Arabidopsis thaliana: one gene and its partners. The protein of the gene in region 3 purifies or fractionates together with the protein of the main gene of each other region. This does not show direct contact. Each region holds a gene or a part of one and is shown on either strand. Other genes may lie near its edges.

What was found.
Region 1: the proteins of ALDH2B7 (region 3) and MTHFR1 fractionate together in Arabidopsis thaliana (co-fractionation; one large-scale study listed by BioGRID). This does not show direct contact.
Region 2: the proteins of ALDH2B7 (region 3) and MTHFR2 fractionate together in Arabidopsis thaliana (co-fractionation; one large-scale study listed by BioGRID). This does not show direct contact.

The regions. Positions count from the first base shown.
Region 1 is NC_003074.8:22,149,542-22,154,983, reverse strand, and holds MTHFR1 (methylenetetrahydrofolate reductase 1), read right to left. Parts: upstream 3,821-5,442; 5' UTR 3,682-3,820; coding exon 3,219-3,681; intron 3,127-3,218; coding exon 3,044-3,126; intron 2,950-3,043; coding exon 2,776-2,949; exon of another isoform or gene 2,555-2,775; coding exon 2,381-2,554; intron 2,281-2,380; coding exon 2,180-2,280; intron 2,074-2,179; coding exon 1,962-2,073; intron 1,731-1,961; coding exon 1,650-1,730; coding exon of another isoform or gene 1,572-1,649; exon of another isoform or gene 1,555-1,571; coding exon 1,377-1,554; intron 1,166-1,376; coding exon 831-1,165; intron 741-830; exon of another isoform or gene 739-740; coding exon 661-738; 3' UTR 501-660; downstream 1-500. Other genes in the region: AT3G59980 (Nucleic acid-binding, OB-fold-like protein), read left to right, coding at 16-222, 313-456; histone-lysine N-methyltransferase ASHH4, read right to left, coding at 4,771-4,807, 4,915-5,005, 5,084-5,111, 5,194-5,344, 5,425-5,442. UniProt on the Arabidopsis thaliana protein: The probable reversibility of the MTHFR reaction in plants suggests that they can metabolize the methyl group of 5,10-methylenetetrahydrofolate to serine, sugars and starch.
Region 2 is NC_003071.7:18,260,202-18,265,846, reverse strand, and holds MTHFR2 (methylenetetrahydrofolate reductase 2), read right to left. Parts: upstream 3,659-5,645; 5' UTR 3,547-3,658; coding exon 3,084-3,546; intron 2,999-3,083; coding exon 2,916-2,998; intron 2,837-2,915; coding exon 2,663-2,836; intron 2,356-2,662; coding exon 2,182-2,355; intron 2,103-2,181; coding exon 2,002-2,102; intron 1,905-2,001; coding exon 1,793-1,904; intron 1,628-1,792; coding exon 1,547-1,627; intron 1,450-1,546; coding exon 1,272-1,449; intron 1,179-1,271; coding exon 844-1,178; intron 746-843; coding exon 662-745; 3' UTR 501-661; downstream 1-500. Other genes in the region: histone-lysine N-methyltransferase ASHH3, read right to left, coding at 4,844-4,909, 5,006-5,054, 5,143-5,233, 5,324-5,363, 5,497-5,644.
Region 3 is NC_003070.9:8,411,546-8,416,653, forward strand, and holds ALDH2B7 (aldehyde dehydrogenase 2B7), read right to left. Parts: upstream 3,342-5,108; 5' UTR 3,260-3,341; coding exon 3,184-3,259; intron 2,968-3,183; coding exon 2,842-2,967; intron 2,769-2,841; coding exon 2,626-2,768; intron 2,542-2,625; coding exon 2,388-2,541; intron 2,293-2,387; coding exon 2,063-2,292; intron 1,985-2,062; coding exon 1,895-1,984; intron 1,804-1,894; coding exon 1,630-1,803; intron 1,557-1,629; coding exon 1,419-1,556; coding exon of another isoform or gene 1,327-1,418; coding exon 1,189-1,326; intron 1,115-1,188; coding exon 1,053-1,114; intron 967-1,052; coding exon 693-966; 3' UTR 506-692; downstream 1-505. Other genes in the region: AT1G23790 (dicer-like protein (DUF936)), read left to right, coding at 1-372.

The DNA of each region.
Region 1 (5,442 bases), on a different chromosome or scaffold from region 3:
TTTGGTTCTGTGCAGGGTGCATCAGTGGTGGTGCTGGCTAATCTGAAGCCGAGGAATATGAGAGGGGTTAAGTCATGTGGTATGCTTTTAGCTGCATCTGACGCAGCTCATGAAAATGTTGAGCTTCTTGTTCCACCAGAAGGCTCTGTTCCTGGAGATAGAGTTTGGTTTGGTAACGAAGAAGATCTCGAGCAGCTTCCTGAACCTGCACCTCCTAATAAGGTCATTTAGCCTGCAAAGCACTAATCATTTCAGTACTGCAAGACTTAAGTCATGGCATATTCAAGTTCTGTGTTTTCTTTGTTGTTTCAGGTTCAAAAGAAGAAGATGTGGGAATTGGTGCAACCACTTTTGAAGACAGATGCGTCTGGTGTTTCAATGCTTAAGGAGCATTTGATGCGGACATCTTCTGGTCTTGTTACTTCCAAGTCTTTAAGAAATGCCAACATTTCTTGATTTCTGTTAAAAGCTATTTTGTGATGTTGTTTTGACACAAGAGAGAAAGAACAAACCGCTAAGGCGATTTTTTTCATTGCAATCAAACTGATGTTTTTGTTGATTCATCAAAGTAAGGTTATTACGAATCAAAAATAACTTTAAAAGGTACAAAACAAATCTCGAAATCGAATGTTTCCTCTTCGCCGGTGGTTTTCTCGGAGATCAAGCAAAGACAGAGAAGATATCACCATTGATGTAATTGTTGTCCACTAAGCTTACCAAATAGTAGCTGTTCTTCACCTGCATATTCGATTGGATCATACCATCATCATTACAGCTAAACCAATCTGGTCACTGAAAAGAAGAGAAGAAAAAAGAAGAAGATTCTTTACCTCCTCGAGCAACTTTCTAGAAGGGTCATCTTCTGGGTACAAGTTAGCCCAGCTTCTTGACCAAATCTCAAACGCTTCGTCTTTCCAGACTTTGAAACTGGCTGGATCCACGATCGTCGGTTGAATAACCTCCTTAGCTGGGAACACTCCCCAAGTAACTGCATTCACATCGGACTCACCGGTGTTTGATACCCAATTCTCTGATTTGTTCACGGCCATGTAGGTGATAGAAGGAAAAGCTTTGGATTTCTCCACAAGTGTGTCTAACTTATCCTTTGAACAGAAGAACTCCAGATAAGCTTTCTGGTAGACGTAACCACCAGGACCACCCCATCCTGCAAAGTATCAATTGCAATTATACATTTTTGTTATAAGCCAAGTAGATATTCCCAATGCAATTTAAACATTATGTTATAAGCTAAGACAGAAGCTCTAGAGGGTTTAAATAGGTTTTTAAGAAATGACAGATGAATCACAAGTCAAATAAGATTTTTTTTTTTGGAACGTTATGGTATGCTTTGTGATCACAAGTTTGAGTTTTCTTACCAATAGCTGGAGAATCGGATTTGGCTGCATTGACTGATGGTTGGCTATTAATGGTCAGGAAACCGTTGGAGTTGATTTTTCCGAGTTGCTCATTTATGATCTTTGTCTCTGGCTGGAGTCCATCTAATTCAGACCATGGGCTGCTTTTTAAGTTTCCAATGCAGAGCTCTTTGAATTTCTGATTTGTGACAGTTTTTACATGAAAATGTGCAAGTGAGTATGAGGGAAAGAGATCGAAACAATTTGTACGAGTGTCCGTAAAGTAAAGCCTACCTCTTGAACATCTTCAATGCTTTTCAGTGGGACGACCCATTCTTGCTGAAGCTTCTTGTCACGTCCTTTTGGGCGCGCAAACTATCAACACATGCATTTATATCAGCACTACTCATTGGCAATGAAAAACGCAGAAGAGATGGCAAGCAAAGCAAGCAGCTTCTTACAAGTGATAATGGTAGGGCTAAATAACAATATGCAAATACAATTTAAGCAAATTGAGAAGGCAAACTGAAAACAAGCCTTTCAGAATTCAAGTTTTCAAAATATAAAGTCGATATGTCAGAAAACTGATAAATATGTGGTACGTACCTGATAATCCGAAAGTGTACTGTATGCTGCACTGTGTGAATCACCCCAACGTCCATGTGGGAAGTCATTCCAGCCCTTTGTTCTAGATATGTAGCTCTTTGGACGGTTTGCCCTGCAAAGATAAAAAATGAAGTAACAGTATTATTCCTCCGCAAATATATCTTAAAGTTAAAGATCTGTAATAATACTCCGAGCAAGAGAAACAAAATGCAGGTTACCAGAAAATTGGGCGAACATCTTCCTTAGTACGGAAAACATTTGCAGGGCGTCTCCAAGGTAGAGAACGAGAAATTTTTGACTCATCAATCAGACCAAGGTTCTGCAATTTGAGCACCACTGTTAGGTTCTCCGGTATACACAATACCATGTGTTAAATATTACTACACAGAAACCAATTTAGAAGGAAATGAGAAGAAAACCATTAATATCCCAATAGCTGATTTGTCCACGTTCAATGTGTAGAGATGAAGGGAAGTGATTCCATGGGCCAAAATCTTTTTGCACATTTCTGTTGCAAAGTGAATTCCATAGGCTTTAACAGCCTCGTCATTATCCTTAATAGGCTCTAAGGCAGCAGTGAGCTCAGCGGGTATCTATGCAATAATAGAATCATGAGTGGAATATAAATCAAAGAAAAATGATATCTGAACACATTAGTCATAAGGCATCATCACCAAGGGTCTATATATATATCACCAAGCAACTAGATAGATGCAGTAAACTCAATCTCATCTTAAAGCCTTTAAGCACAAAGACGACATGTGTCTACAGAGCAAGCCATATCATCACACAGATGAAAGAGATCACAACATACCTTGGTCTTACAGAAACCAGCCATACGCAAGAACCCCTTGTAGTTGGAAATAGGCATAATTCCAGGAACAATGGGACAATTAATCCCGATTTGCCGACAATCATTCACAAACTTGAGGAATATATCAGTATCATAGAAAAGCTGAGTCACAATCAAATCTGCTCCAGCATCAACCTGTACCACAAGCCACAATCCACTAAACCCATCAAATCAAGACAACACAAACAATTCAACACACAAAATTCAAAACCAAGACACAAATCTGAACCTTTTTCTTCAAGTAAGCAAGATCACTCTGATAAGATTCAGGAGTAGCAAGTCCATCAGCTTCAATAACATCCGGATGAGCCTCTGATTCATAACACACAAATCCCCAATTAGAGATCAAAATCACAACAACGAAACCAACAATGAAATTGATTAAAAGGGAGCATTTTGATTACCAGGATAACCAGCAACAGTGATTCCAAAGTAATCACCATACTTGCTACGAATGTGATTCACCAGATCCAAAGCACAAGCAAATCCTCCTTCAACCTGAACAAACTTATCTTGTCCATGAGGAGGATCTCCTCTAAGAGCAAGCACATTCTGAATTCCATTAGATCTAATCGTCTCAAGCGCGTGATCAATCTTCTCAATCGGCATGTTGGTACAAGTGAGATGCATCATAGTCTCGACGCAGATAACATTCTGCATCCTAGAAGCAATCTCGAGAGTGAGATCAGCTGTGGATCCACCAGCACCCCAAGTGATATCGCAGAAGGTAGGTCCATAAGAGACCAATCGATCCATTCGTTCAAAGAGATTCTCGACGCCATCTTCTGTCTTCGGTGGGAAAAACTCGAAGGAGAAAGCTGTTTGGCCTTGCTCCGTCACGGATTTGATCTTATCAACCACCTTCATCGTTGAATCGAAATGAGATCCAAATCCAAATCCAGATTCGGAATTAGATAGGTAGAGGAAGTGGTGGTGGAGAGGCAAGTTTGGTCTCTCTGGTTTGTTTACTCACTCATTTATACTAATCTCTAAAAATGAAGATAGAGATCCAACAACTTTGGTGGTAACTGGTAACCGGTAAAAACTTTAGATAAAAAATTATATTATCAACATTGTTGTTTTTCTACACATCTATTTTGAATTTTCCTTTTTCTAATTACATAATATTTATCAATGTAAATATATTTTCAACAAAGAAATCCAAATTTAGCACAGCATTTCTGTTATCACGTTTTTTTTCTCACATTGCTATCACTTTTTATTGTGCTAAATACATATTTCCTCACTTTTGGAATTTATCTTTTCCATAATAGTAATTTTATCCTTTTCCTTTACAAAAAACTAGTTTTTATATTTTTCTTATTTTCCAACTAAACATAAGAAAAAGAAAATTTAGTTAGGTAGGTGAGCTACGACCCCACATTACCTACCACCGGTAACGGCAAATCCACTGTCGGTCACCGGCGCGTGGGTATCATCCGCTACAACGGACAGTAGGCTAGTGATATAGCAGCATTGCCAAGGAGAATCACGTGCTTAACAAACTCGAGTTATAGACAGAGCAAACCGGGTATGAGATTTTTTGTCTCTTAAATAACCAAAACCCCGGTTTAAAATCCAAAAACACTTTTCTTTATTTGGTCCAAAGATTCCACATACAGTGTAATGTACTACTGAACTACTGATTCAAGTTGGATACATACAACAACAAAGTCTAAACCTATTTGCCAACCGACACGGTTTGGTTGGTTACAAAATTTCTTGACAATTCAAGTGTAATCCTATGTAAGGGAATGAAATCAGACTTGGAACAGTCACAATATCAAGCAGTTACAACCTTCCAAACTTCTCTGCACATGTCGATGATCTCGGTAACACCATCCTCATACATGACCTGGACAAAGTCAATGTTCATTCTTTAGATTTCGTAAACTGAGATAGAATGTGAACAACAGTGTTGGCAATAAGTCAAATGAATAGATACCAAGTGCTTATTTAAAACTCATCATATTGTGTAATGATTCCAAAACACCTGAAAAATGTCAACTACTAGAGTCAAAACCTTCATCTGAGCCGTGTAATACTGTTCTTTGGTGTGGAAGAAATTGGTTTTTGAGAAAAAAAGAAAGATAGTTATACTTTTGGTTCATGGGACGTGCTAACCAGATCACCGCACCAATGCAGTCCCGGCAACATATTTTCCTCTGGCTATGATTGTTCCAAGCTTGTCCTGACGCATCCAAATTGGTTTCTCTTACCTCTGAATTGAGAAGCTTGTCGATAATCGAGCCAAATAATTAATACTAACCAGCAATGCGTCTCCCTCGAGTTTTTCCCTAACCATATGTTTGAAAGGACAAGTTACTGTTTAGCAATCACAGGATGACTAAAAAAAAGTAAGGCAAAGCTCAAATTTACCTTGGGCGTTTTCCAGGTCACTTTACATGCCACTGGCTTCACAGCTTCTTCTAAGGTTGTGTTCTTAGTTTTGCAAGGTTTTGCACCTAGCTTTTTTCTGCAACACACTGCACCACAGTAGCAATCTTGATCTGCACCAAACTGAACAAACCTGCTATATTTATTAGTATCACACAACTAAACATTTACATTCAAATACTTTATTGTTGTGATGCAAGGAAATGTTCTTACTGGTAATCGTAAGTCAAC
Region 2 (5,645 bases), on a different chromosome or scaffold from region 3:
TCTATAACTATCCCCGGTAACCGGAAATACACGACCCTGGAATGTGCTTATGCTTGCTGCAATGTAGCGACACTGACCTCGTTATCCCAGCTGGTGAATGATGCCCTAATAGTCTCTAAGCAAAAAGGTTTCGATGTGTTTTATGCCTCGGATGTGATGCAGAATGAGAGTTTCTTGAAAGAGTTGAGGTTTTATCCACTATGTCGACAGTCGCACTACTATCTCTACAATTACCGTTTGAGAAATGCATTGAAGCCATCAGAACTTGGGCTTATTCTTTAGTTTTGTTAAAACCACTGTTCCCGCTCCCCAATGTGAACAAACTATGATCATTAAACCAATGTGTAGCCTAAGATTCCTCTTCCTGGATATCATTTGCAAGTATTATAAACAAAAGTTTAAAGCCTTTTTATCTTTTTGCGTGTCTTTTTGTAGTTTTCCTCTGAACTATCAACACAAACAAAATTTGCCGAAGAATTGTTTGGTTTTGGATCTTTAAGGTAGTGAAACTGATGCCTTTTTATCAATAACATTACTTGCACATCAATACTGTTATGGTAGACAGATGTAAAAAACAAAATCCCAATATTTTAGAGAAAGTACAAAAGCAAATCTTGAAAGCAGTAGGAAACCGATATACTGTAGTTGTCTCTTGATTTTCTCAAAGATCAGCAAACACCGCGAATATGTCACCATTGATGTAATCGTTCTCCACCAAGCTTACCAAATAGTAGCTGTTCTTCACCTGCATTTTTGGATCAAAATGTCCATTAGTCATTTTAAATAAACCATTGTCAAAAACAATAACAAATATGATCAGATCAAGAAAAATATAGAACTTACCTCCTCGAGCAAGTTTCTGGAAGGGTCGGCTTCTGGGTACAAGTTAGCCCAGCTTCTTGACCAAGTCTCAAATGCTTCATCCTTCCAGACGTTGAAGCTAGCGGGATCGACAATGGTTGGTTGAATGATTTCCTTAGCCGGGAAAACTCCCCAAGTTACAGCATTCACATCAGCTTGGGCAGTGTTCGATACCCACTGTTCTCCTTTGTTCACAGCCATGTAAGTAATCGATGGCAAAGCTTTGCATTTCTCCACCACTGCATCTAATTTCTCCTTTGAGCAGAAGAACTCTAGATAAGCCTTTTGGTATACATATCCAACAGGACCTCCCCATCCTGCAAATCATACACAAGCACAAGTATCGATCAATCACGAATCAAAACTCTGTTTGCTATGAGAACAGAGATATAACAGGACTGATTCCTCACCAACAGTTGGGGAATCAGATCTCTCGGCGTTGACTGATGGTTGGCTATTGATGGTCAAGAAGCCTTTGGAGTTGACTTTTATCAGTTGCTCGTTTATTATCCTTGTCTCTGGCTGGAGTCCATCTAATTCAGACCAGGGACTGCTTTTAAGGTTTCCAAGGCAGAGCTCCTTGAATTTCTGTTATGTGACAGTTTTTTTGCAAGATTATTGTAAGCGTCTGCATCTTTACAGGTGAAAGTGAGGGAAATGTGTGGTAGTGAAAAAATTGTTCTACCTCCTGAATATCTTCAACACTTTTCAGTGGGACAACCCATTCTTGTTGAAGCTTCTTGTCACGTGCTCGCGGACGTGAGAACTGACAACAAAAGCATTTAGTTCAGCAAACAAGCTCACAAGAAGATGTTACATTTAACAATCTAGAGCAAATCAAAAAGACCAATCGAAGAAATACCCTTCAAAACCCCTTTGTTATGAAATCTTGAAAGAGAGTTGTGCAATTACAGATGATGTATTGTAGTACCTGATGATCCGAGAGTGCACCATATGAAGCACTGCGTGAATCACCCCACCGGCCTTGTGGGAAATCTTCCCAGCCCTTGGTTCTAGAAATGTAGCTCTTTGGACGGTTTGCCCTTCAAAAGATTAGAAGAAAGAACAAGTCTTATTTTCCCTGCAGAGTAAAATATGTGGCTAAGTATAATCAGAACGAGAGAAACTAAGCTCTGTTACCAGAAAATGGGGCGCACATCTTCCTTAGTACGGAAAACATTTGCAGGGCGTCTCCAGGGTAAAGAACGAGAAATTTTGGACTCATCAATCATACCAAGATTCTGAAACAACAACAAAATAGTAAAGCTACTCCACTATCAGTATCATGCTTTACATCAAGTAGAAAAAGTGAGGACCAACCATCAATATTGCAAGAGCAGATTTCTCCATGTTCAATGTGTAGAGATGAAGAGACTTGACTCCATGAGCCAACATCTTTTTACACATCTCTGTTCCAAGGTGAATACCATAGGCTTTCACAGCTTCTTCGTTATCCTTGATAGGCTCCAAGGCAGCCATCACCTCAACTGGTATCTACATTAATATAATCATATGTAAATTCATCTATCTTTTTTTCACAAAAAGCACAGCTGGTATCTACATTAATATAAAGAATTCTCTTTGAATAGCTATCCAACAAACACTTTCTCTGAAAACAATAATATAATCAAGTATCTCAATTTCATCTAGCTGATCACGAAACCTTAAATACACTTTTTTAAAAACATATCCTAAGCTAGCAAACAAACACCTTTATGGAAAGGCAACAAGCAATATCATTCATCTCCTAAAAGGTGATTCATTTGCAGGAACTGGTGTTTACTAAACGATCAAAACTTACCTTAGTCTTGCAGAAACCAGTCATACGCAAAAAGCCTCTGTAGTTATTAATAGGCATAATTCCAGGAACAATGGGACAACTAATCCCAATTTGCCGACAATCATTCACAAACTTGAGGAATATATCAGTATCATAGAAAAGCTGAGTAACAATCAGATCAGCTCCAGCATCAATCTGTTCCAAGACAAACCCAAATTCAAAAATTGATGCAGACATTTAAGAACAAAGCAAAACAAAAACAAACAAAACAAACCTTTTTCTTCAGATACTCAAGATCACTCTGATAAGCTTCATTAGACGCAAGACCATTCTCACCAATAACATCAGGATGCGCCTCTGAAATATCAAAACACATAAAAATCCAATCTTTAGCTACAAATCACACGAAACAAAGAAATCAAATTCGAATTCGAGACATTACCAGGATAACCAGCGACAGTGATACCAAAGTAATCACCATACTTGCTACGAATGTGATTAACAAGATCCAAAGCACAATCAAAACCACCTTCAACCTGAACAAACTTATCTTGACCATGAGGAGGATCACCTCTAAGAGCAAGCACATTCTGAATCCCATTAGATCTAATAGTCTCAAGAGCATGATCAATCTTCTCAACAGGCATGTTAGTACACGTAAGATGCATCATACTCTCAACACAAACAACGTTTTGCATCCTCGAAGCTATATCAAGCGTTAGATCTGCGGTAGATCCACCAGCTCCCCAAGTGATATCGCAAAACGTTGGACCATAAGCAACCATTCGATCCATTCTCTCAAAGAGATTGTCGACTCCATCTTCTGTCTTTGGTGGGAAGAATTCGAAGGAAAACGCTGTTTTGCCTTCGTCGGCTAATGACTGGATCTTATCTATCACCTTCATCTTCTTTTCGAAATGGAGAAGAAGAATGAGAGACAAAGGCGAGTTCTTTCAGGTTCTTCTACTCACTGCTTTATAGTAAACAGAGAGATTCCAAAATGTTTGGTGAATTTTAGACTTTACCTTACCCGTCCACTTCCTTATATTATTTTCATTTTTAAGACAAAATCATACTTTAAATAAAGTATAATTACATAATTTACATTTAATCATTGTTTTGTGCGAAAATCCATGTAGTTAGACAACATGAGTTACATTTTTATGCTTGACAAAAAAAAACATTTTTATTAAAGTGTTTATTATTCAAGAGATTTACCAAACCATTCTAAAGTGAAAAAAATGAAGAATCCGAGTTATTTGATATTAAGATAGTCGAGTTGATATTAGTAAACAAGATGAGTTACATAATTATTTTAAAGGAATGTGATTAGTAAAAGATTTACCAACCACAATTAGATTTGTCGTTATCAATCCCCAACCCCTGCAGTCTATGCTTTTTGAGTTGGTGAACCAGAACCACACACCCACATCACCCACCTACTACCAAAAAACCAATGATCCATCACTTTTGTTTAACAAAAATAATCTACTTTTACCAAAAAAAAAAAAAAAAAAAAAAAATCTAATTAAAATTTTCCGTTTTTCACTTACAGTGTATCTTTAAACTTTACAAAACTTTTTCCAATTTAAAACTGTTATGTTGTTTTAGTAATTTTTCACTTGTTTAACTCATTTTGCATTTGAAGGAATTTGAAACGTTAATCGCTAAAACAAAACTGGTCAGATTTTGCAAACACCGGCTTTTGTCGGCGACACCGACACAGTCACACTCACACAGATGCACGAATAAGAACAGCACATGCAAACAAGAACAAACCGGTCTTTGGATACAAATTTTTAAAAGCTAAACCGGATATGAGATTACCGGTTCTTACAAAGTCAATTACACACCACGAAGGTTCTTGCAAGACATCATCATTTGAGATCCCCATGAAAAAAGAAGGAAGGAGAAGAAAGTACAGATGTGGTTACACAAGTAGATATATGATATCTCTTATAATGGTTGTACAAACACAGGTCACAAGTTAGACGCAACAAACAATGTCACTGCACCAATCCCAGTCAGTCAGACCCGGGTTTTTTGGGATACCTTTAGTTTACCAAGACAGGTTATTTTGGTTTCTCAACTTCAAAGCAATCTGCAGAAACATAGCAGCCAGGGTAATTTAATACTCTATGCTTCTGGGAGTTTTAATGTTTCATTAAGAGAGTGAAGAGTATAAATCACCTGAAAACAATATTAGACAATCTCCCAGTCTTCTCTCGACATGTCGACAAACTCGGTAACACCATCCTCGAACATCACCTGGACCAAGTTTAAAGATGTTAACAGAGAGGTCTTAATTGAGAATGATTTTGCCAAGTTCGATGGTGAGGAACAAGTATTGGCTAATTGTAATACCGAGTGCTTTCTTGAATACTCATCAAAATGTCTAACGAGGCCAAAACACCTGAAAATCTCAAAAGATAAAACATTGGATGAGAAAAGCATAGAATGAGTCATAAAACTAATCCACGAGTTCAAAACTCAATAAATACCTATCACTCGTGGGGCGAGATAACCTGATCACCACACCAATGCAATTACGCGAACATGTATCCCTTTGACTAAGATTGTTCCATGATTTTCCTGGAGAAACATGGGAATCCAAATTACTTTCTTACAACCAAAACACAATAAGCTACTCTCGCAAATTGAGCAGAAAAAATCCAAACTTACCTGCATCTATGTGTCTATTTACAAGTCCATTTTGATGCACCTAACCAAAAGTGGGGAAAGAAAAAGAGTCACTTAGACCTCATCACACAAATTTTTCAGTGACTGTGAAACTATGCCAGGGCAAAGACGAGATATATATTTGATTCTTCTTTTCAGATAAAATTTGAAAATACCTTGGGCAGTGTCTGGGCCAATTCATGTGCCACTAGATTAAAAGCTTCATCCGAGGCTATCTTAGGTTTGCTAGGTTTTACACCAAGCTTCCTTCTGCAACCTACAGCCCCACAATGGCAGTCTTGATCTGCACCAAACTGAACAAACC
Region 3 (5,108 bases):
TCTATTGATCAGGAGAAAACAACATCAAAGAGAAGAATTCTCCTGAAGCAGCAGCAAAAGAGATCAAACGATGAGAACAAGAACCCCGCAGTTTCTCTTTCCGGATTAGGAAACACGGCGAGGTTGGTTAAAGAGATAGAGAAAGAAGCTGCAAATTGGTTCATGGAGTTTATAGAAAAGGCTCTGGAGAAAGGGATGAAGAAATGTAAAGGCACAAGTGATGCAGATGTTAAGAAGGTTCCACAGTCTCTGATTCTCAAAGTTGTAAACTGGGTGGAAGAAGAACATTCTGCTGATAACACGAAACGACCAGTTCATCCAAAAGCATCACATATCACTAGAAAGCTCAGAATCAAGTTGAAGAATCCTTAGACCATAAGCGCGATTTTGAGATGTTAAGTTGTTCCTTCTACGTCTACTGTGAAAAGGCTTTCAGTTTCCACTGCTTATAGAGAGATTTATTCATGGATTCTATTGTTATTAGTCAAGTTCATGTACACATCAATGAAACTAATAAGAGTTTGTGTTTATTAATCACACATTGTCATGTAGCTTTATTTGCAAAATGTATTGAAGATAAATTACTCTCAAAATCTAGAAATCCTAGAGACACAGTACAACTCCAGGTTTTCAAAGCAAAAGTGCAAATCATAAACCAAACTCGAGAAATAAGTGTAACCACCTGGTATGGTTTAGAGCCAGGCAGGGTTCTTGAGGGAAGTAACAACAGCCTTGACTTGCAAGTAATTGTTGAGACTGTAGATACCTTTCTCTCTACCAATGCCACTCATCTTATACCCTCCAAATGGAATTGATGCATCAAGTACATCAAAACAGTTGATCCAAACAGTCCCAACTCTGAGTGCTCGCATCAGCCGGTGTGCTGTGTCAAGATTCTGTGTGAACACTCCAGCAGCTAAACCGTACCTTGAGTTGTTGGCCCTTGCAATCACCTCATCAAGATCCCTAAGAAACATCAAAAGCCATTAGTAAAGTTTAATCAGAAAATGTCAACAAAGAGAAAGTTTTTGGTTTAGCATTTAGATTTGTACTTGAATTTCAGTATGGTTTGAACCGGCCCGAAAATCTCGTCTGTTGCTATGAGCATGTCATCCTGCAAAGTTCAACATGGTCCATATAAATCGATTTTCGCAAGAAAACTGTGACGGTAATAATCGGTTTACTTACTTTCACATCTGAGAAGACAGTAGGTTGAATGTAGTAACCCTTGGAACCAAGCCTGTCACCTCCAGCTTGTAATGTGGCTCCAGCCTCAACTCCATGTTTGATGTACTTCAGGATTTTGTTGAATTGCTCTGAGTCTACCTGTTTTTTTGTTCCAATACAAGTTGAAATGTTGTTCTGTTTATCACCGACAACATGGTTAGGCTACGGTTTCTAAATGATGGTATGACTACCTGGGGACCTTGCTCAATGCCTGACTTGAAGGGATCTCCAACATTTCGCTTGAGTGCACGAGCTTTAGCTTTCTCTACAAACTCATCATACACACGTTCATGTACAAATGTACGCGAACCAGCACAACAACATTGTCCCTACAGTTATACCTATCAGAAAAGGCTAGATTCTAAAGACTGTAGAACCATGAAACCATAAAAAAAACAGTACCTGGTTAAAGAACAAAGCGAAATGTGCAAGCTCAACGGCCTGATCCACATCAGCATCTTCACATACAATGAATGGTGACTTTCCTCCAAGCTCAAGAGTCACTGCCTTAAGGTTGCTTTTTGAAGCTAACTCAAGAATAATCTTCCCAACATCAGTAGACCCGGTGAAAGCAACCTGTAGAGTGCAGAGGATTTATCAGAAACTCTATAGAAGGCATAACTTTTGCCTTTTAATAGGATAATTTTTCAAAGTTTGTCTTTTAAACCTTATCAACGTCCATGTGACTAGCTATAGCTGCACCAGCAGTAGCCCCAAATCCAGAAACTATATTCACAACTCCATCAGGAAGTCCAGCCTGTGTCATAAAATTTCAGTTACTTGAGCAAAACATAACATCAATAAAACAGAATCTCACTGAAGAGCACATTGTTACCTCATGAAGTAGTTTCCCAACAAGAAGAGCAGATAGAGGAGTTTGCTCAGCAGTTTTGAGAACAACGGTGTTACCGCAAGCTAAAGCTGGTCCAAGTTTCCAAGAAAGCATGAGAAGAGGGAAGTTCCATGGGATGATTTGTCCAGCGACTCCTATAGGCTCATGTAAGGTCTGCACATGGTGTGGACCATCTCCTGGCATTGTCATTCCATGTATCTTGTCTGCCCAACCTGAGAAACTCATCGAAGAACAACATACAAAAATCCTTACAAAGATCATGAAAAAGTCATTAAGGTATACAATATGCATCAGTGGTTTCACTCACCAGCATAGTACCGGAACACCCTAGCAAGCATTGGTACTTCAATTTGAGCAGATTGTTCATAAGGTTTCCCATTATCCCAAGTCTCAAGAGCAGCAATCTCATCATTATGTTTCTCGATTAAATCAGCGAAACGAAACAGTATCTTTGATCTCTCCTGAAGAAATTAACAAAGCTAAGAGTCATGTCAAAAGCACAAATAAAACACAGAAGATAAGCACAAAACAACTTTGTTATATACATAAGCTGTCATTTTAGGCCATGGTCCTTCATCAAAAGCCTTTCGTGCAGCTGCAACCGCGCGGTTCACGTCTTCTGCATCACCTTCAGACACTTGAGCAATCACTTCTCCATTTCTTGGATCCAAAGTAGGGAAAGTTTTTCCTGTAGTTTTTAAACAATCTAGTCTCAATATTTTTACGAGCTTAAGATATTGACAAGGCTAAACATTTCTTACCTGACACTGCATCAACGAATCTTCCACCGATTAGAAGCTGTGTGTGTTCAACTTTCACTGGTGGAGTAATAGTGTTTTCGACAGCAGCAGCGAGGTTACTGTATCTTTGAGCTCCTCTGTTCATGCCTAAAGAAACAAACAAGAACGCATAGATTCGATCTAAATGAGACCAAGATCATCAAATCCATCGACAAGTAACCACAAAATCCGAAAAACTCGGAGATCATTGATCCGTATGAAAGTTAACAGAGACAATGAAAACAGAACGATCTCGATCATTATCAAGATAACTATGACAGAGAAGCAATGGCTCTACAAATGGATCGGATCGCATTTAGATACCTCTAAGAGAGAAGATAGAACGTGAGGAGGACATGAAAGAGCGAGAGAGCAGCGAAGAAACTCTTCTTGATGCCATGGCTAACTTTTTTTGTTCTTCTTCTCTTTCTCACGGTGATGGTCTCTTTTGTATTGGTGTGAGAACTCTGTTTATGGAAGCACACGAGTAATGATTTCGCATTTAACGAACATAAGAAAGAACCATTTCAGGGATAAAAATATCACATTCGTTCCCCACTTGTCGTCTACACAAGAGTCAAATCAAAACTCGTGTCGACACTAATAATACTACAATATCATTTTAATCATTCATTTCTATATATTATTTTAGAATTATTTTACTTAGTACTTAGTAGTACCATACCATAATCTTCGGAGTTATAGTTGTAGTTGTAGTTTTAGTATCATAGATATTACGCTAATAAAAGACATAGTAATACACTAATACTAGTACAATATTCAAATATGTTTTTATTTCATTATATTTCTGTCATTTATTGGATTTTTTTTTTCTGTGACAAATTTACATATATAATCACTAGTACATAAACTGGAATATTTTACAGAAATATATTTAAAATTAACATCATAGAAAATAACGATTTTTAAGTGTGAATAGAGATTATAATAAGAAAAAAGTGTGAATGGAGATTTAAAAAGTGTGGTACGGCATTGAAGGCGTAAGAGAAAAGTATTACGTCCTGATTATTTTGAAGAGATTTGAGTGGTTCACCTACCACACTAAAAATAGGTGATTATTTTGCTTATTTATCGTTATTCTATACAAATATTAGTAGGATAATTTACTAGTAATTATGGTATAAGATAGTGTCAACTTTGTGTGTTGGCATTAAAGATTACGTTTTTAATTGTTATTATGTGTTTGTATAGAGATAAGATCATATATTAGTCATCATTCTATACTAATAATATTTCTTGTTATCACTAAGATATGATCTTGATGACAATGTTACACAGTTACAATACGTATAACTCAGTTTGGACTTTGGATCCAACCTTACAAAAACAGAACAATTCGATGGACAAGGCTATATTTTAGCCATAATCTCCTTATTACTAGGTAGTTTCAAGTTTTTCAAGATTTATATACTATGTAATTGTTCTGTGTTAAAAAGTGTTGGTTTTTTATAGCTTTTTTTTTTGTTGACACAAAGCTTTTTTAAAAAAACAAATGACGACAAATTTATACAAAACTGACAGAAACTGGTTTAGTTAGCTATGGAAACTTATATGAGCGTTAAAAAAATGCTAATGCACATTGATTATCACGTTTTCATAGTTAGAAGTACGAAAAACCTTTAAAAAAATTTGGGATTTCCAAACATCTTTTCATGCATAACCAAATATATATATTTTCATAGTGCATAGACATTATCGATACGTAAACGTATTTCTTTTTGTTTCTTTATAGAAAATTCATTTTAGCATTTACTTGTTTATCTCTACCAACTTTTCTTTTAATAGATAGATAAAAAGAAGGGATTATTGTGTCATGACTTTTTTTTCTCCATAATGTTTTCGTATAAGATTCGACTATATATACAGTAATAGACCGTCCGTTCGAAATTATTAACACGAACTAGGAACAAACGTATGAAATTGAAACATCATTATCAAATGTTCGGTACTTCGTATATTATAGAAGTAGCTAGCTAGATTACTAGGATGATCCAAAATACCTCATAAACACTACACTTTGATAGGGAAAAAATATAGTTAACATAAACAAATATCGTCTCTACAAAGTAATGTATTTTTTGCTAAAAAAAAAGGAAGGTATATGTCAATTGAAAAATAATCAAACCAAATGTAAAAAAAAAAGTATATGCTAAAAAAAAAATGTACATGCTGCATTATGTTGTTTTTTGCGAAAAATAGGTCCTGAAATGGGCTACTATTATTAGTGG